2 linked regions of the Canis lupus familiaris genome follow. The protein of the gene in region 1 binds, or shares a complex with, the protein of each later gene. Links are inferred from orthologs where the notes say so. Each region holds a gene or a part of one and is shown in the gene's direction. Other genes may lie near its edges. The genes, in order: ELANE and SLPI.

Region 1 (9,734 bases):
CCACGGACCCCCAGGCCCCCTCTGGTCCTGCGGGTGCAAGCCCCACGGTGGGGCTTCCAGGGGGACAGGCAGGGGGTGCCCCTGGGGTCCCTGTGCGTGAGGCCACACGTGCAAATGTCTATCTGGCCTTGCTCGTGCTGGGGCGACGTCCACTCAAGCTGGTCAGCCCCATGGCCTCCCGGCAGGAACGGGGACACTGAGGCAGGGGCGGGGCAGGACTCCTGCTGCTGCTTCCATGGATGCCCCGGGGGGGGGGGGGGGGGGGGGGGGCACAGGGCAGGTTGGAGGCCTTCATCCTGAGGACGATGCTCTAGGCCCGGCCCGGCTTCCCCACACCCTGCCTGGCCCCCAGGACCCTGCGGAAACGAGGGTCGGCCCCCAGCAGACCCCAGCCCCCTGCGGGCGAGCCCCAGGTCACCCACTTTACAGATGGGGAGGGGGGCTGGGGTGAGGTCACACCGTGGCTCTGCCCCCCTGGTCTGGGGGCTCCCAGGCCCCGCGTGACGGAGACCGTGGGTGGGTAGGAGGCTGGGCCCTGCTCACCGCCCTACGTGGCCGGCATCCACTCAAGCTGTGTGCTGCCCACTGCCCGCTGCCTGGGGTCCTGTGAGGGCGCGGAGGCCACCCTGCCCTGGGGTCGGGGTGGGGGGAGACAGCCCTGCCCTGGGGTCACACCTCCTTCCCTCCACCAGGCATCAGCCCCCTGTGCCCTTCAGCGTGACCTGGGCCCTGGTGTCAGGACGAGGCCCCAGGAGCGCTGACCTCAAGCCAAGCATCCTGAGCCCGGGCCCTCCCCCTCGTGTTGGCACCGCAGGCACAAGGCCCGCCCGGGGGCAGGGGGACAGCGCGGGGGGCCGGCGATGGGCTCCGTGTCAGCGTCGCTCACCTGCTTGGCAGTGGCTTCCACGCGCGACCGGGAGGCGGAGGCGAGGCTCAGGGACACGCTCGTCCGCAGGCGGGAGGCCGCCGTCACCCACCCTGCACCAAACATCTCTGGAGCGCCGACTGTTTACACAGCCCTGTGCAGATGCCGGGACACGGCCTGGGGCGCGGCGGGCTTGGTGGGGACAGAGCCCACGACCACCCGCGGGGCACACGGGACCACCCTGCCGCCCGGCCTGGCCCCAGCGAGGTACCCTCTGTCCTGCCCCTCCCGGCCCGCCCGCCCCGAGAACCGGGGCAGAGGATCCCCAGGGCCTAGCGGGGCCCCAGGATGCAGCGGGGGTCAGTAAGTGCCTTGCGAGTGTGTTAGTGCAAGAGTGACGAGGGTTGGAAAGGAGAGGCCCGGGCCTTCGAGCAGGTGAGCAGCCCAGGCGGGCTTGGGGGGCCAATCTGGGCGCCAGCCCCCTCCTGGCGGGTGCCGTGGGGCAGCCCGTCCAGTGCTGCCCTGGAGCCGCGCCCGAGGCCAGGGGTCCGCGTACACAGGAAGAGGCCAATAAAGCCCTGCTGTCGCCTGGTCCCCCTCAGCCACGGGTCCTAGAGGAAGCTGCAGACTCAAAACTCCCCTGATGCAGCCCCACCCCTGCCCATGCCCCCAGCCCTGCGGCCGCCGCCCTGCCTGTGTCCCTCCAGGGGGGAGCGCGGCCCAGGGTCCCCAGCACCCAAGTTCCCGATTGTAGATTCGTGGAGGGCCCAGGTCACGCAGGGACTCTTCCCGGACGCCAGCGCCGCCGGGGTGACCCTGATTTCTCTGTTACCCATCTCTGGGCCTCAGTTTCCTTTTCTAGAAAATGGAGTCCCCCCGGCCATCGCCCAGCCGGACCCTCAGGGGACGGCTCGGGGACTCCCGGCTCGGGGACTGTGCGAGCACCAGGCCACGGGAACGTGGGTCCCGGCAGAGGCCGGGCCGGGGGTTGGGGGGCCTTGGGGGGCTTCCTGGAGGCGGGGTCAGGGCGAGTGCCGGGGGCAGGGCTGCGGTGGAGGGGACAGCGAACTGGTGGGCACAGAGCTGGGCCTAGGGGACAGGTCAGAGGCGGCTGGGAGGGCGCAGCGGTCGCGGTGCGGCATCTGGAGGCAGCACCTTCCGTCCTGACCTCCTCTGCTGCCACCCGGTGGCGTGATGCAAACTCAGGCCGCGACAAGCCGCCGGGAGGGGACAGGAGCTGCCACAGCTGGCAGCGGGAGGGGGCGGGGGGGATGCTGACGCGTATCAGGAGGGTGCCAGGAATTTCCCGAATTTCCCAGGAGCCCAAGGCAGGGAGGTGGTTTCTAGACAAAGCCCAGGGGGACCCTTCGTGCCCAGGGAGGGGGCAGTGAGGACGTGGGGGGGGGCGTCCACGGCCCGTGACGGGAACGCAGACCCGCAGCTGGAAGGCCCCTGAGGCTGCTCCGGAGGGGTCGGACCCAGAAGGGGAGGGGGCCGCGGTGCCGGGGGTGGGGGGGCAGCAGTCCCCACACTCGAGGTCCCCGCGCCCCCAAGGACGTTCTTACTGTGGCCTGAGTGACGCCGGGTGAGGTGCCCGCATCCCCGGGGTCCCGAGTGGACGTAGAGCCCCGCCGGCCTGCGCCCCTCGCGGCGGCCACCCCCCTGCCCCACAGGTGGCTAACGGGTAGTGACCCTCGAGGATGCCACTTTGTCACCCATGTCCGTTTATCCTCATTTTGCCCCCAGAGCCTGTGGCTCACGCGCATTGTAGAGACGGGGACACGGAGTGCACACGGGTCCAGTCTGCGGCCTGCACGGGTGCAGCAGGCGAGTGGCCACCGCAGGAGAGTCCACACACTGCACCCCCGCGACATGGATGCGCAGAGTACACAGGGGTGCTCAGTAGATGCAGCTGGGGGTACGCCTCCAGGGACTCGGCTGCCCCCACTCCACCCACCAGACCCCCCTCGGGGGCTTACAAGGCTCCAGGGACCTTCAGGGACGAGGGTGGGGGTCGCGCCGGGAGGGGAGGGGCAGGACGGGGCGGGGGGCATGGGGCCCTGGGACCCTGGGGACACCGAGCGCGGGCTCCGGGTGGCAGGGGCATCTGCCCAGCCCGGACAGTGGGGGCCCCACGGTGGCCCCAGCCTGGGCGCCCCCGGATCCGTTGGTGCCTTCCCGAGCCTCGAGCCAGTGGGACGTTGCCTCTTGCGACAGCAGCTGGCGGAGTCCTGGGGGAGGCGGGAAGTGGAGCAGGGGTGGGGGGGATGGGGGAGCGGGCCTGGGGGACTGCCGGCCGCCCTCCTGCTGTGACCTGGGGGGCTGGGGCGAGCTTGCATCTCAGGTGGGGGCCCAGACGCCCTGCCGCCCCCAGGGGACATCGGGGCAGTGCTCGCAGCCCTGGGTAAACCGAGGCAGCCAGGGGTCCCGCCAAGGTCCGTCAGGCGCAGGGTGCCGGACTCAGTGACGTCACAGGACGCCCCTCTGAGCGTGGAGGTGGAGGTCGGCGGCTCGCCCCTGGACGGCCCGTCCTGCGCAGCCCTGGGGACCCGCTCACAGTGACAGCCTGGGAACGTCCCGCCCTCCGGGCCTCCCGCCCCCGCCTCCCCTCACCCCCGGGGGGCACAGGAAGTGGGGACACCTGGCCCCTCCGTGGGGCAACAGCAACGGCCAGCGGGGCCTATAAGAGGGGCGGGGGGCCCGGGGCCGCGACACCGCCACCGCCCGGCCATGACCGCCCGCCGAGTGCCCGCCGGCCCTGCCCTGGGCCCACTGCTGCTGCTGGCCACGCTGCTGCCCGGTGAGTGGGCGCGGCCGCCCGCACCCTCGTCCTCGGTCCCCTGATCTCAGCTGAGCCCGCGAGGAGCCCTGGGGCCCGCGACAGCCACGGGCCGGGGTCCCCCGGCGCTCACCGCCCCCGTGTGTCCTCAGGCCCCGCTCTGGCCTCGGAGATCGTGGGTGGCCGCCCGGCCCAGCCCCATGCATGGCCCTTCATGGTGTCCCTGCAGCGGCGTGGAGGTCACTTCTGTGGTGGGACCCTCATCGCCCCCAACTTCGTCATGTCGGCGGCCCACTGCGTGGATGGCTTGTGAGTGCCCCCGGCTCCCGCCGCCTTCCCTGGAGACTCGTTTGCACCTCTGTGTGATGGGGACACGGTGACACCAGGGCCCCGAGGTCCTCCCAGGGCTGCCCTGTGCCCCCCGTGCTCCCCGTCCCCTCCCTCTGCTCCCGTGTCCTCCCCGTGCCCTCCCCGTGCCCCCCGTGCCCTCCCTGTGCCCCCCCGTGCTCACATTAGTGCACCTCCCCTGCCGGGCCCAGAGGGTGAGGTCCGTGCAGACCCTCCTGGGCTCGGGGGGCACAGCTGAGGCCTGGGGTGTCCCCACCGCCAGGGCCACTTCGAATCACGCCGTCTGTTTGCCGCAGGAACTTCCGGTCAGTGGTGGTGGTGCTGGGGGCGCATGACCTGGGGGAACGCGAGAGCACCAGGCAGTTGTTCGCCGTCCAGCGGGTCTTTGAAAACGGCTTCGACCCCGTCAGGCTGGTGAATGACATCGTGCTCCTGCAGGTGAGCTGGGCAGGGGCGCCTGGGGGTCGGGGCGCTGTCCCTGCCACGTCCCTCCCGGTGCCTCGGCCTCCACCGCTGGACGGGAGGACCCCCTCCCCCCCCGGGGCTCTGGGAACTGAGGTGGCGCCAGAGGCGCTGAGCCGCGGCCCATCAACAAACTTGTAATTCGTGTGGCCGAGCACGTGGACCGGGAGCCTCTAGGATGAAACCCTCCCTCCCCCACCGCTTGCGGAGTTACTATTCCCTGGGAAGGTTCTAGAACAAGGGCTGTCTTGTCATTGCTGCTGCCCACGGTGTGTGCCATCGAGTGCCCACCGTGTGCTGCGTTCAAGGCTCGTCCGGAGATGCTCAGAGCCCCTGTGCTTGCTCCCACTGCGCATCTGGGGAGACTGAGGCCCAGGAGGGGAGGTCATGACCCTGATGCCCCCACCCACCCCCCACAGCTCAACGGCTCGGCCACCATCAACGCCAACGTGCAGGTGGCCAGGCTGCCCGCCCAGAATCAAGGCGTGGGCAACGGCGTGCAGTGCCTGGCCATGGGCTGGGGCCAGCTGGGCACGGCCCAGCCGCCGCCCAGGATCCTGCAGGAGCTCAACGTGACCGTGGTGACCACCCTGTGCCGCCGCTCCAACGTGTGCACGCTGGTGCCACGCCGGCGGGCCGGCATCTGCTTCGTACGTACCCCGGGCCCCCGGGTGCCCTCCCCGCGCCCCCCTCGCGGCCCCCAGCGCCGACACGCGGCCTGCCAACCCCGTCCGTGTCCACAGGGGGACTCCGGGGGGCCCCTGGTCTGCAACGGGCTGATCCAGGGCATCGACTCCTTCATCCGCGGCAGCTGCGCCTCCGGGTTCTTCCCCGACGCCTTCGCCCCCGTCGCTCAGTTCGTGGACTGGATCAACTCCATCATCCGCCGCCCGCCCGCCCTCCCGCCCGCGCGCCCCGGCCAGCAGGACCCCGAACGAGGCGCCGCCCGCGCGCCGCCGCCCGCCCCGCATCGCCCGCGTCCCACCCAATAAAGCCCTCCCTGGTTGTGAGAACGTGTCCGGGTGTTTGTGGCGGCGCGGCTGGGGCGTCTCGTGAGCCTGCTGCCCCCAAGGGCGGCCAATTCAGGGCATCGGGGAAGGGGCGCCGATTGCCGTTCCTGGTTCCCAGGCTCACGGACGGAACCACGGCAGCTGCTGAGGCCTGCGCTGTGGCAGGTGCGCCCCGAGGGCCCCCGGCTGGCCCTCTGTGTCCCCGACAGGTGACGAGGTACAGGTCCAGGCAGGGGTGAAGCCGCACCCGGGAGCCCACGCTGGAGCCCCAGCTCTGTGACCGGTCAACTTCCCTGAGCCCGTTTCCGTTAATTTTTTTTTAAGTTTTTAATTTTGTTTATTTTTTAATTTTAAATTTTCTTTATTTTTTAAAAGATTTTATTTATTTATTCATAAGAGACATACAAAGAGACAGAGAGGTTGAGAGAGGAAGACCGGCAGAGACCCAGGCAGAGGGAGAAGCAGGCTCCGTGCGGGGAGCCCGAGGCGGGACTCGATCCGGGACCCGGGGTCACGCCCTGGGCCAGAGGCAGATGCTCACCCGCCGAGCCCCACAGGCGCCCCCACCCTGAGCCTGTTTCCCTGCAGGAAGTACCGAGGCGAGGGTCCGCGTCCCAGCCGCCCCCCACCTGCACTCCTGATGGAGATCACAGCAGGGGCTCCCGGGCGGGGCTCTGGCCCTGGGGCCCCACGGCCTTGGCCGGTCCCTGGCGGCCCCCTCCCTACGCGGCGTCCGGCTGCCGTGCGATTGGCCCTTCAGCCTAGTATTGCACCATATACCCTGGCGGTGTCTCCGCGGCCACCGGGCCCCTGGGGGTGCTCGGGGCCCTTTGTCAAACCGCCGTCTTGCCGAGTCGTCCCCAAGCCTTGCTGAGATGCCCACCTCTTCCAGGAGCTGGGCTCCATCCCCTACAGGACTTGTTTGGCTACTGACCTCAGCAAGGAAACCTGTCAGGATCTAGCAAATCACGGTCGTGTTCTGTCCATCCTTCTCTGTGTATGCAACAGTCCACGGCGAAGAGAAAGAAGGGCAACGTTGCGCAATGCGCCCATTGGGGACGTCCAAGGTCCACCCCACCCTCATGGTCCCAGCACTGGCCCCGCTGTGGGTTCGTGAGACGTGGATCTGTCGTCCCCCCCTGCTAGAGAGGGCCATGTAACCCTTGGCTGACCAGAATCTGCCATCCCTTGCTCACAGCGATTGGTTTGGGAGGGGACACGTGAGGGAAGCTCAGCTAATCAGCACGGCCTGGACAAGTTGGCTGGAAGGATGGAGGATTTGGGAGGGGCCTGCCCAGCCACTGGGCTGGGTCTGGGGCTTTTGGGGTCACAACGAGGGAGACTGTTGAGGAGAAAAGCCACCGAGGAGGAAAGGAGAAACCACAGACAGAGATAGTTCAGGCTCCTGGATCAAACCACACCTGAAGGTAGGCCCCCCTGAAATTCCCATTTAAATTTCCTTGTTGAAGACTCTACCGAGTTCAACTTGGTAGTTTTTCTAAGAGATTTATTTCTTTGAGAGACAGAGAGAGAGAGAAAGAGAGAGAGAGGGAGAAAGAATGAGCATGGGCAGTGGGGAGGGGCAGAAGGAGCATCAGGCTCCTCGCTGAGCGGGGAGCCCAGGACCCGGGATCGTGATCTGAGCCGAAGACGCACGCATCATCCCGACTGAGCCACCCAGGTGCCCCTCGGCTTGGCTTTTCTGTCACTTGTAGCCCACAGTTCCTCCAGCTGCCTCCACACCGCCTCTTTAATATGCGCCTCGTTGGGGTGTCAGGCCCCGGTGCCCCTGGGGACGAGCATGTCAGGCCACCTCCCATCCCCACCCTGACCTCTCCTCCAAGTTGGGGGAGGAAGAGAAACAAGAGAAGGGCGGAAATATGAGGAAGTTGGTTGTTTATAAACTGTGGTCTCCAGCTGCTGTTGCAAAACTTGGGGCGGGGAGAGCACCCTGGGGAGATGGGGGGGCAGCGGGGCCGGGCCTGCTCTGGCCTCTGCGCGTCCTGGGCTCGGCTGCCACAGGGCCAGGCCAGCAGGTGGGTGTGCGGAGCGCTGCCCCCCGCCCGGCTCACACGCGTGCCCGTCCCAGGCCCCACGGCAGCATGGCCCCCCGCCTCGGCCCGGTGCCCCTGGTGCCCCTGGTGCTGCTAGGAGCCGCCCTGTGTGGTGAGTGGACCTGGGCCCAGGGGACCGGGCGGGCGGGCAGCCGGGGAGGGGAGGCGCGGCTCCACCTGGACGGGGGCTCTGCACCCGAGGGACTCCCCGAGGCGGGAGCGCCAGGGCCGAGCTCTGCCCACGCGGGGCCCACGCAGGACGCAGCCCCGCGGGCCGAGCTCGCGCTGAGCCCGGAGGCGCCGCGTGGGGCGCGGGCTTGGCCCAGACCCCCGTCACCCGCCCCCCGCCTGCCCCTCCCCCCCGCAGCCGCGCAGCCTCGTGGGCGCATCCTGGGCGGGAGCGAGGCCGAGTCCCACGCGCGGCCCTACATGGCGTCGGTGCAGGTGGACGGCAAGCACGTGTGCGGCGGCTTCCTGGTGTCGGAGCGCTGGGTGCTGAGCGCGGCGCACTGCCTGGAGGACGTGTGAGCGGCGGGCGCGGCGGGCGCGGAGGGGCGCGGCGGGGCGGGGCGGGGCGCCGCGGACGAGGCTGTGACCCCAACCCCGCTCCCAGGGCCGACGGGAAGGTGCGGGTGCTCCTGGGCGCGCACTCCCTGTCGCAGCCGGAGCCGTCCAAGCGCTGGTACGACGTGCTGCGGGCGGTGCCCCACCCCGACAGCCGGCGCGACACCATCGAGCACGACCTCCTCCTGCTGCAGGTGAGCACCTGGGCCGCCGCGGGGGCCGCCACCTGGGCCGCAGGCCCGCCCCGCGCCGCCCTGACCCCGCGCCGCCCCCTCCGCAGCTGTCCGAGGACGCCGAGCTGGGCCCCGCCGTGCAGCCCCTGCGCTGGCAGCGCGAGGACCGCGACGTGGCGGCCGGGACGCGCTGCGACGTGGCGGGCTGGGGCGTGGTCAGCCACACGGGCCGCCGGCCCGACCGCCTGCAGCACCTGATCCTGCCGGTGCTCGACCGCGCCACCTGCAACCTGCGCACGTACCACGACGGCACCATCACGGAGCGCATGATGTGCGCGGAGAGCAACCGCCGGGACAGCTGCAAGGTGCGCGGGCGGGGCGGGGCAGCAGGGTGGGCGGGGCCACCGAGGGGGCGGGGCCGGCGGGGTGGGCGGGGCCACCGAGGGGCGGTGGCAACAGGATGGGCGGGGCCACCGAGGGGCGGGGGCCGGCGGGGTGGGCGGGGCCACCGAGGGGCGGTGGCAACGGGATGGGCGGGGCCACCGAGGGGCGGTGGCAACAGGATGGGCGGGGCCACCGAGGGGCGGGGCCGGCGGGGTGGGCGGGGCCACCGAGGGGCGGGGCCGGCGGGGTGGGCGGGGCCGGACCACCGCGGGGCGGGGCCCGACCCGGGTCAGACCAGGTGCGCAGGCGAGGGGCGAGGCCGCGGGCGCCGCGCTCACGGCCCGTCCCCGCAGGGCGACTCCGGGGGCCCGCTGGTGTGCGGCGGCGTGGCCGAGGCCGTGGTCACCTCGGGCTCGCGCGTGTGCGGCAACCGCAAGAAGCCCGGCATCTACACGCGCGTGGCGAGCTACGCGGCCTGGATCGACGGCGTGATGGCCGGGGGCGCGGCCGCCTGAGGAGGCCCGGGGGGCGGCGGGCGCGGGGGCCGAGCAATAAAGTCCTGTCCTGCATGAGCCCCGCCCGCTGAGCACGCGCCGCCGGCCGCGGGGCGGGGACCCGAGGGCGCAGGTCCCCGCTTGGCCGCACGGGGGCGCCCCGAGTCTTCCACCCGAGATGGAGGGGCTGGGTGGGGGTCCACGCGGAGGTGCCGCCTCCGCCCAGCGATGTCCGGCCTCCTCCGTCGGGTCTTCCCCACCGTGTGCGGGGCCCTGCTCCGGACTGAGCACCCTCTGAAGTCAAGCTGTTCTTGTGACCCACGGCCCACGTGGGGAAACTGAGGCTCGGGTCCGAGGGAGCCCCCGGGCAGAGCCTGCATTTGGCCCCAGAGCCACGGCACCCGCGCAGGTTCATGGCCGTCTCCAGGTGCTGCGAGGTTGCAGGAGGGACGCTGATGGACGTCCTAGAGCACCCCCCACCCCGCACTGACGGGGCGTCCTGGGTCTCAGTTTACCTTTCTGGGCAACGGCAGGGAGGTCAGAGGGCAGAACCCAGGCCCTGAGGCCCTGTGCTTTCTCCCACCGGGTGAGGGGCCACGGA
Region 2 (9,910 bases), on another chromosome or scaffold:
GCAAGTAGCCCCAGAATACATAAATGAATGAATGTATGGCTGTGTTCCAATAAAACTTTATTTAGAAAAAACAGGCAGCTGTCTGGATTTGCTCTGGGGGCTGTCGTTAGTTGACCCCTGGTCTAGATGACCTCTGAGATAGCTTTTAATCTTAACAGTCTGTGATTTAAAGACTTAGAACTTAGAATGGTATGAAGGACAAAAATGATCACACCATGTCATCCTCCAATGGCACCCAGAGCAGACATTGCTAATGGATCACAGGACTGCTTTCTTACAGGAAAGGAGTTGGCTTTTATAATCAATCACAGATGGAGAATTCCATCTGGAGCATTCTCCTCTGCACCCTTTAAGATGCAAATATTTAGAAAATTCCAGACACTCTCTTGAGTGTGGCGTTGAGGACGGTAGGAAGTATCAGAGAGTGGGAAATGTGACAGTTTCTCCCACTCGCTCTCTCTCTTTTTTTAAAGATTATTTATTTATTTATTCATGAGAGACACAGAGACAGAGAGGCAGAGACACAGGCAGAGGGAGAAGCAGGATCCATGCAGGGAGCCCGAAGTGGGACTTGATCCCAGGACTCCAGGATCACGCCCTGAGCTGAAGGCAGATGCTCAACCGCTGAGCCACCCAGGCATCCCTAGTTTCTCCCACTCTCATCCCCTCGTGTGAGGGAAATCAAATTCTCCCTGAGGATGGAAGTGAGAGCCCAAATCCTGAACCTAAACCAGGGTGTCTGAGCTGACAGTGTTATTACCCATGGGTGGAAGTCAGACCTTCCAAATCTCTCTTGCCCTCCTGAGCTTGAGCTAGGAGTGGACACCTGGCACTTACCAGTTACCCAGTGCACTCTAATTTTCTTCTTTTTCTTTTCCCACCAAATGTGAACCGTTGAGGGATTTCTGCACAGCCAGATCTGTTGTCAGTTGACTGTTGGAGAATACCTTACAAATTAGTTCCTGTGTAGCCATTGTTGCATGATAATGCTTGACTCTTTCACATCTATTTGAATTTCCACAAACCTTCACTTTGAGGAATGAATGAGGAAATCCCAAACATCTGGAAGTCACATGATATAAGGGGTTGGGATGTGCAGTTAGACAAGTTTGGGCTGAATTTTTGGCATGATGATCACTTTCTTGATAATTAGAAGCACTCTCTACAGATGGGGTAACACACAGAATAAGTTTAATATATGGCAGCCATATATATATATAACTTATCTCAGGAGTTCTGTAGGGGATTTTGGGGTAGGAAGCATCCCTCTAGTATCTCCAATTGCACACTATAACTACATATTGATTCTGGTGGCCAGGGAGCTCTTTGCACCTTTGTCTCAGATTCATTTCTTTTTTTTTTTTTTTTTCTTAAAGATTTTATTTATTCATTTGACACAGAGAGAGATCACAAGCAGGGGGAGCAGCAGGCAGAGGGAGAGGGAGAAGCAGGCTCCCCATTGAGCAAGGAGCCTGATGAGGGGTTCAATCCCAGGATTCTGGGATCATGAACTGAGCTGAAGGCAGATGCTTAACCGACTGAGCCACCCAGGTGCCCCTCAGATTCAATTCAGTGTTCTCAGTTGTAAGGGATATAATTCATTTGTTCTTTTTAAAATATTTTATTTATTTATTCATGAAAGACGTACAGAGAGAGCCAGAGCATGGGTAGAAGGAGAAGCAGGCTCCCTGCAGGGAGCCTGATGCAGGACTTAATTCCAGTACTCCAGGATTATGACCTGAGCCAAGGCAGACACTCAATCACTGAGCCACCCAGGTGTCCCTCATTTGTTCTTTTTCCAGCTCTTCTATACCCATAATCTCACAATTCTCAGAGGGGCTGATTTGTTAGTATCATCCCATTGCACAGTTGGGAAGACTGAGCTCCAAAGAGATTTGCTGTGGGTAGAGTTCTTCCTTCTGCACCTTTTTGTTTGATAACTGTTTTTAAAATTTAACTCATTAAAAAAAATTTTAAGTAACCTCTACACCCATCATGGGGCTTGAAGTCATGACCCTGAAATCAGGAATCACATGCTTCACCAACTGACCCAGCCAGGCGCCCCTATTTGACAATTGTTTAGTGAGCGCTTTCCATGTATCAGGTATGGACCAGGCACTGGAGACAGAATGGTGTCAATATTTCAGGAAATAAATGTCTGTTGGTTGAAATGTCACCTGAACTTTTGAGAAGGAAATTGCATTGAGCAATCAGCAGAGAGTTTCACAATCCCTGAGAGTCCAGGAATGTGAGAATTAGTGGGGCCTTGCACAAGGTCTTAGCGGAGAGTTCACATCTGTGGCTTTAGCTCCAGATCTAAGTATATTCTTTGCAGCTGGCCTCTTCTTGCCCTCTTCTCCCACCAGGCTTATGGGCTTGGGGCCCCCACTACATTCATGGTTCACACTGACATGAAATGGTCATATGAGATGGCCTCCTTTTTAAAAAAATTTAAATTCAATTTAATTAACTTACAGTTATTAATTTCAGAGGTAGAATTTAGTGATTCATCAGTTGCATATAACACCCAGTGCTCATTACTTCAATTCAGTGCCCTCCTTAATGCCCATCACCCAGCTACCCCATCCTCCTGACCCACATCCCCTCTAGTAACCATGTTTATTTCCTAGAGTTAAGAGTCTCTTATGATTTATCTCCTTCTCTGTTTTTGTCTTATTTTATTTTTCCTTCCCTTCCCCTATGTACATTTGTTTTGTTTCTTAAATTCCACATATGAGTGAAATCACATGGTATTTGTCTTTCTCTGACTGACTTAGTTCATTTGGCATACTACCCTCTAGTTCCATCCATGTCATTGCAAATGGCAATATTTAATTCTCTTTGATGGCTATACACACACACACATATATAAAGAAGATAGATATATAGATAGATAGATCCATTGATGGACATCTGGGCTCTTTCCATAGTTTGCTATTGCAGACATTAGTGCTATAAACAGGGGTGTGTATATGCCCCTTCAAATCATTATGTTTGTATCCTTTGGGTAAATATCTATTAGTGCAATTGCTGGGTCATAGGGTAGCTCTATCTTTAATGAATCTCCATAGTATTTTCCAGAGTGGCTGCACCAGCTTGCATTCCCACCAACAGTGTAAAGTGTTCTGCTTTCTCTGCATCCTCGCCAACATGTGCTGTTTCCTGACTTTCTAATTTTAACCATTCTGATCGATGTGAAGTGTTATTCCATTGTGGTTTTGATTTGTATTTGCCTGGTGCTAAATGATGGTGAGCATTTGTGTGTGTGTGTGTCTGTTGGCCATTTGTATGTCTTCTTTAGAGAAATGTCTGTTCATGTCTTCTGCCCATTTCTTGACTGGATGTTTTATTTTTTAGGTGTTGAGTTGGTACTTTCTTTATAGATTTTGGTTACTAGCCCTTTACTGAGATGGCCTCCTTAATAGCCTGGTGACATCTTCCAAGCCACTCTCTTCCATTTCTTCCCTGGCAGTTACTGTTGGCCTCACGGTCTTGGCTAGGACAGAAAAGAACTGCTGTCTCTCTGGTATTAGCATTGCTGATCTCACCTAGCTTCCTGTGTGGTGCGATCACAGCTGGGAGGGGCCAAAGAAATTCTGTTGGGGCCACACCCCCTAGCAAAAATATAAATGATGAGGCTTGGCGTTGACCTTCCGAGCCACACGACGTCTCATCATGCAGTCCAGCAGCCTCTTCCCCCTCATGCTTCTTGTCCTGGGAACCCTGGTGCCTTGGACTGTGGAAGGTGTTGGAAATGGTAAGCTGAAGCCCCTCTGGCACAATCTTGGCTATAGGGCAGAGGTGATGGGGGCTCCTGGTGGTGTGGGGATGTCTCCTTCTAGAGGCTCTGATCTCTCAGTTTAGTTTCAAGAGACCTCCCTGAGGGTGGGTTCATGTCCAGCTAGGCTCCAAGATCTGTGTCGGCTTCTGAGTATTGGGATGGGCTCTTATACTGGTGTCCAGTCAGCCCGGGCCCCACTCCCTCTGTTCTCATCACCCCGCTCTCTTCATCTTGTCTGTCCCTCTGCAGACACCAGTCTCTGGCTCTGATTTCTTGTCTCTCTGTGCCAATCTTTCAGTTTCTGTGTCTCTGCCTCTGGCTCTAGCTCTCAAACTGTCCTGTTGGCTCTATTTACCTTTGTCTCTCTCCATCTCCCTCCCTCCCAGACTGCTTCTTTGCCTTTGCAGAGCTTTGTTTTCCCTGGGGCAGGAAATGTTGGCTGGGAGCCCTCTGCCCTTTGCCAAGGCCCAGGAACTTTTTCTGCCCTCATGTGTGGTTTAATCTGCCCTCATGTGTGGTTTAATCAAGCCTCCACGCTGTGGAGGTCAGGCAGGCATTTCCCTCTGGACTTTGTGGACAGTTGCATGAGTGAGGGTCTCTCCTGGAGTGTGGTGCTTTGTCCAGGAATCATGATGGCTACTTAGCACCCAGCTCCTTCCTCAACTCTTGACATTCTCTTCAACAGCGTGGAAAGCTGGACTCTGCCCTTCTGTACCACCTGATCGGTGCCTTTCTGGATTTGAGAAATTTGAGTGCCGGAGTGACTGGCAGTGTCCGGGGAGGCAGATATGTTGCTCTCATGCTTGTGGAATCAAATGCTTGGATCCCGTTAATGTCTCCAACTCAAGTGAGGAGGTGGAAGGGCTGGCATGAGGGAGGGAGCCTGAGAATGCAGCACCTAAGGGGATAGGACTGGATGCTGGTCCTGCCAGGTCTCCTCCCTCCCAGGAATTGTTGAGTCAAATTTGGCAGCTGGTCAGGGAGTCACACTGCCCCAGACAGGAATTTACTCACCTAGCTGGTGAAGCAGATAGTCTGTCAGGAGGTCGGCTTTTTGAACAATAATCATCTGGTCATTCAGGTAAGCAGGCAGGTGGCAGGCATCCATCCAGTCAGCACCAGACAGCTGGTCACCTGTGTGGACAGGGGGCCTTATGTGAGAGGAGACCTGGATCCTCCATGAAGGGATACAGAGGCCCTGGGAAGGAAGAGGTGGTCATAGGAATGGAGAAGAGATGATTCTCCTTGAGTGGGTTGGGCTGGGTCTGGGTCCAGGAAGCAGGGGTGGTGCAGAAGGCACAAGGCCCCTTACCTGTGGCTCTACTCTCACCAGTTAGAATGAAGCCTGGCAGGTGTCCGGTGGTCTATGGCCAGTGTCTGATGCTCAATCCCCCCAATCACTGTGAGACAGACCGCCAGTGCGTGTCTAACTTGAAGTGCTGTAAGGGCATGTGTGGGAAAGCCTGTGTGGACCCTGAATAAGGTAAGGAGTGGCCTGGACCAACCCATCTGTCTTTCACCAGTCCTCTCTGTCCCAAGCCTGTGGCAGCCCTGGCATATAAGCTGGGGGACTCCTGATCCCTACCCTGAAACAGCCTCTGCCTGGCCCTCTCATCCTTCAAGGGTACTGCTCCCCAGGCCCCAGGGCCAGGATTTCTATGGGATCACTCATGACTTTGATTCTATTCCAACCCCTCTGGGTGAAGGCCCTGGGCAAGTGGTCCTCTGAGTCTTGGTTTCCTTATCTGTAAAATGGACATACTGAAATCGAAAGTGCTTTGTAAAGCACCATTTGTGCTAAATATTTATTATTAAGATCAACTTCAGCACGTTGTTTAGGGTCAGAGACCAAAAGATCAATGGACTTTGAGAGTAATCTGCTGAGTTTAGAGTCCCACAGTAAAATTGAGACTTGAACTCTGTCTCCTGACACCAAGACTTTTCAACTATACCACCACTTTGCTGTTTTCTCTGTCTTGGGGGTTACTTGGGGGAAGAAGAGGGAGATAATTTGGCTGGTCCCCATACTAAAACCCTGATCTGATTTTCTCCCATAGCCTGATACCTGCCATTTGGAAGAGTCTCTGGATTTCTACTCTGTGGTCTGGGAATTCTGTTTTCTGCTCCCAGGCTTGGATCACCGTGGTGGCATTCCATGGTGAAGGCTTGGTTTTACTACCAATATCTCCACTGGGGAAAGGCTTGGCACACTGTAGGCTTTCAGGAAATGCCTGTTGATTGATGAATAAATAAATGAGCACATTTCTTTTGTCCACATGCTTCTTGTAGTTTGTTGGATGGGAGGTGATGAGGGAATGTGTGGATATGAGGCCTCCTTCCTATACAGAGTGGAAGAAAGAGGCTTCAGGGGCAGACAGACATGAATCTACATCATGAGTCTGAAAACACTGGCTCTGCAATTTTGGACAAATGACTTTATCTCATACATCTTAATTTCTTTATCTCCAAAGTGGCAACAAAAATCACGTTCTCATTGTGTTGAGCATTGGAGTATGCCACATGTATGAAATGAATAGCAATGTTGCTAGGTCACAGCAGGCTCAAAAAATGGTGGATATTTGCCTTCTGTGGTGATTTTGAGCCTCCTACATTTCTTCTCTCTCCCTTGGGAGAGATTTCTTCTATCTTAAAGTAAATATTGAGCAGAACCACATGCACTGATTATCAATCCTGAGAGGGGACTCCAAACACTTCTGCCCATTGCATTTTGGTATTGGAGTCCCCAGGGAAAGCAACATGCTGCTGGCTAGTAACCACACAAGGATAATGGGTGTTGTTTGTTTGTTTTGTTTTTCACACAAGGATAATGTTCTTGACTCCATGGAGCAGAAAAGAGTAATAAGAACTGGACTCCCAGAACTCAGAGCAAGCAGGGAACCATGCTCCCCACTTCTCTGTGCTCTTTGGACTCCAAAGGAAGCAGAGAATTTAATTGGAAAGTGACATAGAAGGACAAAACACAACTGTAATTCAATAATTTCCTGGAAAATATCACTGATCTAAAAAAACATTCCACATTCTACATTCAGTCAATGTTCCAAGAGCAGCAACAGGATGTATTAACTTAACTGTTTAAGGGAAGAGGGAAAAGAGGGAGTGCCATCTTATTTATTTTGTGAGCAGGGTAGCCGCTCTCTGAGCTGCCTCCTGGATATCCTCATCTCTTGGGACTCCAGCCCTTGTGTGGCCCCTCCCATGGTTTTTCAAGATGGGTCTATGTGACCAACAAACTATTGCAGAGTGAGAGGTAGTTATGTCCTGATGAGATGAGTTAAGGATGGCACCTTCCATCTGGGAAGCATGTCCCCTCTCTTGGATCTTCTACTCTGGCAGGACTCAGTTGCCCTGTCAGGAGGACACTCAGCCATCTGTGGAGAGGCCATCAGGTGAAGAGACAAGGGTCTCTCAACAGCATGTGAGGAACTGAGCTCCACTGACAAACATGTGAGGAACCTTGGAGGCAGAGTTTCAGCCCCAGTCTAATCTTGAAAAGATTGCAGTCCCAGCACACAGTTTGATTATAACCTCATGACAGACCATGACCAAGAACCATCCAGTGAAGCTACTCTTGGCTTCCTGACCCTCGAACTGGGAGAAGGTGCTAAATATGGGGGACAATTTGTTAGGCAGCAATAGACATCTATTGCAATGTGAAGCTAGCAAAAGTCTGCTACTGCCACCAAATATGGGCAGTATAAGAAAAGATAATTATAAGGCAATGTCATTGTCTCTGAACAAGGTTGGGAACATCCTAAATAAACTGTTAAAATTAGAATTCATGAAGGTTTAAAAAGTTTTCATAGAAGTTCAACATGATTTTTTTCAAGACTTTATTTATTTATGTATTTATGTATTTAAGAGAGCGAGAACACAAGCAGGGGAAGGGCAGAGGGAAAGGGAGAAGCAGACTCCTTGTTGATCAAGGAGCCCAATGTGGGGCTCGATCTCAGGACCCCAGGATCATTACCTGAGCCAAGGCAGATGCTTAACTGACTGATCCACACAGGCACCCCTCTTTCATTCCTTTATGATGAGGAATTGGCTTGCACAGTTATGGAGGCTAAGTCCCATAATCTTCTGTCTGTAAACTGGAACTGTGGTGTAATGCAGTTCCTGTCTGAAGGCTTAAGAACTAGGAAAACTGATGGTGTACATTCCAATCCAAAGGCAGGAGAAAATGAGGTGAGATGTTCCAACTCAAACAATGAAGGAGGAAAAGAGATGTGGATTCCTTCTTCCTCCACCTTTTGTTTTATTTAAACCCTCAGGGGATTGGATGAGGACTACCCACACTGGGGAAGGGATTCTACTTTACTGTTCCACAGATTCGAATGTTAATCTCATCTGGAAACATCCTCACAGACATACCCATGAATAATTTTTAATCTGGGCATTTTGTGATCAGTCAAGTTGCCACAAGAAATTACCCACCACAGGCCCAGGCCATGTCAGCTTGGTACCCTGATGCATCCACTTAAACCATACTTAATCTCCAAAGAAAGACAATAACAAAGTCAGAATTCTGCCAAACATGATACAGTTATTCTTCATACAACCAAAAACACATTAACTCTTTTGCAAAAGAAGAGGTAAAGTCCTTGAGTGATGTTTGATCTCCTCCTTGATATCCTGTAACTTAAATCCTGTAATGTAAAATTAAGAAATACTATGATATAAAGTCTCTACAGCTTATGTTACATGATAAGGCAGTAAAAAAGACAGAAGAAGGAAAACACAAATGCATTCAGAGCAACGTAAGGAGGAAATCTCATAACAATTACAGTCCTCAGTCCTCATTTCTGGAACTGGTCATGTGGTTGTAGCTAGTATTTATAATTACCCTCTCCCACTACCCATTCTATATTCCTTTGCTTTCAGCAAGCACCTCAGCTGGTTGCAGTTCTTGGTCACCTGATAGGCTGACCCAAACCTTCATTCTTGAAAGGTTTGGGTCTTTAAGTTGCCTTGCTTGGATTGGGCTGTTGTGCTTTTCTAAAGACCTTACTCACAGAACATGACAATATTAAGAGGTGCCCTAAGAGATCTCCTGTATTCCAGACATACTCTTCCTTAACTTCCATTTTGTAGAGTTCTCCAACTTCCCCTTGGAAGTCAGGATCAGTCATCCTGGCCAACACTGTAACTCTCTTTTTTGCCTGTTGATTTAGAGGCATGAGGAGCCCAAAGTGGCCAGCTGGTAGTCTTAACTTCCAGTTCAGTGGAATCATTGTTGTGTCTCCTAGTAGAAACATTTCTTCCTTTGGAACTAACACCTCTAGGCCACCAGCACACAGAATCTTGAGAACAGGAAGCAAAAGTTTTGCTAATGGGTCACTAGGGGTGATCATGAGTAGTACCACCTCCATTTCCACTTCTTGATTCCTGAACTCATGAATCCTGGCTATGGGAGAAGCAGCATTATATATTAGGAACTGATTCAGAGCATATATAGCCTTCTGGAGAACCTTGCCCTGCAAAGTGCTGCCACCTAGCTGGCACTACAACTGAGTCTTCAAAAGGTCATTCTACTGTTCTATGAAGCCAGCAGCTTTAGGGTGGAGAACACGGTATGCATGGCTATTGCAACACTTCTTTTGCTATAAAGTGAGATCCTTGATCAGAAGCAATGTTGTGTGGAATATCATGGTGGTGGAGAAAGCACTCTGTAAGTATGTGGATGGCAGAAGCATCACATGCAGGGAAGCCAAATCCATATCCAGAGTAAGTGTCTATTCCAGTAAGAACAAAATGCTACCCTTCCCATGATGAAAGTGGTCCAATGTAATCAACTTGCTGCCAGGTAGCAAATTGATCACACCGGAGAATGGCTGTATATCAAGAATCAGTGTTGGTCTCTGCTGCTGGCTAACCAGGCACTCAGCAGTGGTCATAGCCAGCTTGGCCTTGGTGAGTGGAGTCTATGTTACTGAGCCCATGCATAATCCCCATCCCTGCCCCACAGCCACTATTCCATGAGCCCCGTAGGGCAATGACAGGGGTAGCTGAGGAAAGAGGCTAATTAGGATCTACAAAACAGATCATGCTATTGACTTGACTATTAAAATCTTCCTGCTGAGGTCACCCTTTGGAGAGCATCCACATAGGATA

The links.
Region 2: the proteins of ELANE (region 1) and SLPI are in contact, whole or in part, in a crystal structure (PDB 2Z7F), measured with the Homo sapiens proteins. The link is inferred for Canis lupus familiaris from reciprocal best matches to the Homo sapiens genes ELANE and SLPI. Residues at the interface, in NP_001963.1 of Homo sapiens: His53, Phe54, Cys55, His70, Cys71, Asn74, Val75, Pro111, Val112, Asn113, Leu114, Leu158, Ile165, Leu180, Arg182, Val197, Cys198, Phe199, Gly200, Asp201, Ser202, Ala216, Ser217, Phe218, Val219, Arg220, Gly221; in NP_003055.1 of Homo sapiens: Tyr93, Gly94, Gln95, Cys96, Leu97, Met98, Leu99, Pro102, Phe104, Met121, Cys122.

The regions. Positions count from the first base shown.
Region 1 is NC_049241.1:58,264,518-58,274,251, reverse strand, and holds ELANE (neutrophil elastase precursor), read left to right. Parts: upstream 1-3,575; 5' UTR 3,576-3,595; coding exon 3,596-3,665; intron 3,666-3,796; coding exon 3,797-3,953; intron 3,954-4,288; coding exon 4,289-4,430; intron 4,431-4,873; coding exon 4,874-5,104; intron 5,105-5,197; coding exon 5,198-5,446; 3' UTR 5,447-5,464; downstream 5,465-9,734. Other genes in the region: CFD (complement factor D), read left to right, coding at 7,567-8,042, 8,132-8,276, 8,363-8,620, 8,993-9,154. UniProt on the Homo sapiens protein: Serine protease that modifies the functions of natural killer cells, monocytes and granulocytes. Inhibits C5a-dependent neutrophil enzyme release and chemotaxis. Promotes cleavage of GSDMB, thereby inhibiting pyroptosis. Promotes blood coagulation.
Region 2 is NC_049245.1:33,192,693-33,202,602, reverse strand, and holds SLPI (antileukoproteinase precursor), read left to right. Parts: upstream 1-3,654; 5' UTR 3,655-3,675; coding exon 3,676-3,757; intron 3,758-4,466; coding exon 4,467-4,628; intron 4,629-5,114; coding exon 5,115-5,263; 3' UTR 5,264-5,264; intron 5,265-5,838; 3' UTR 5,839-6,058; downstream 6,059-9,910.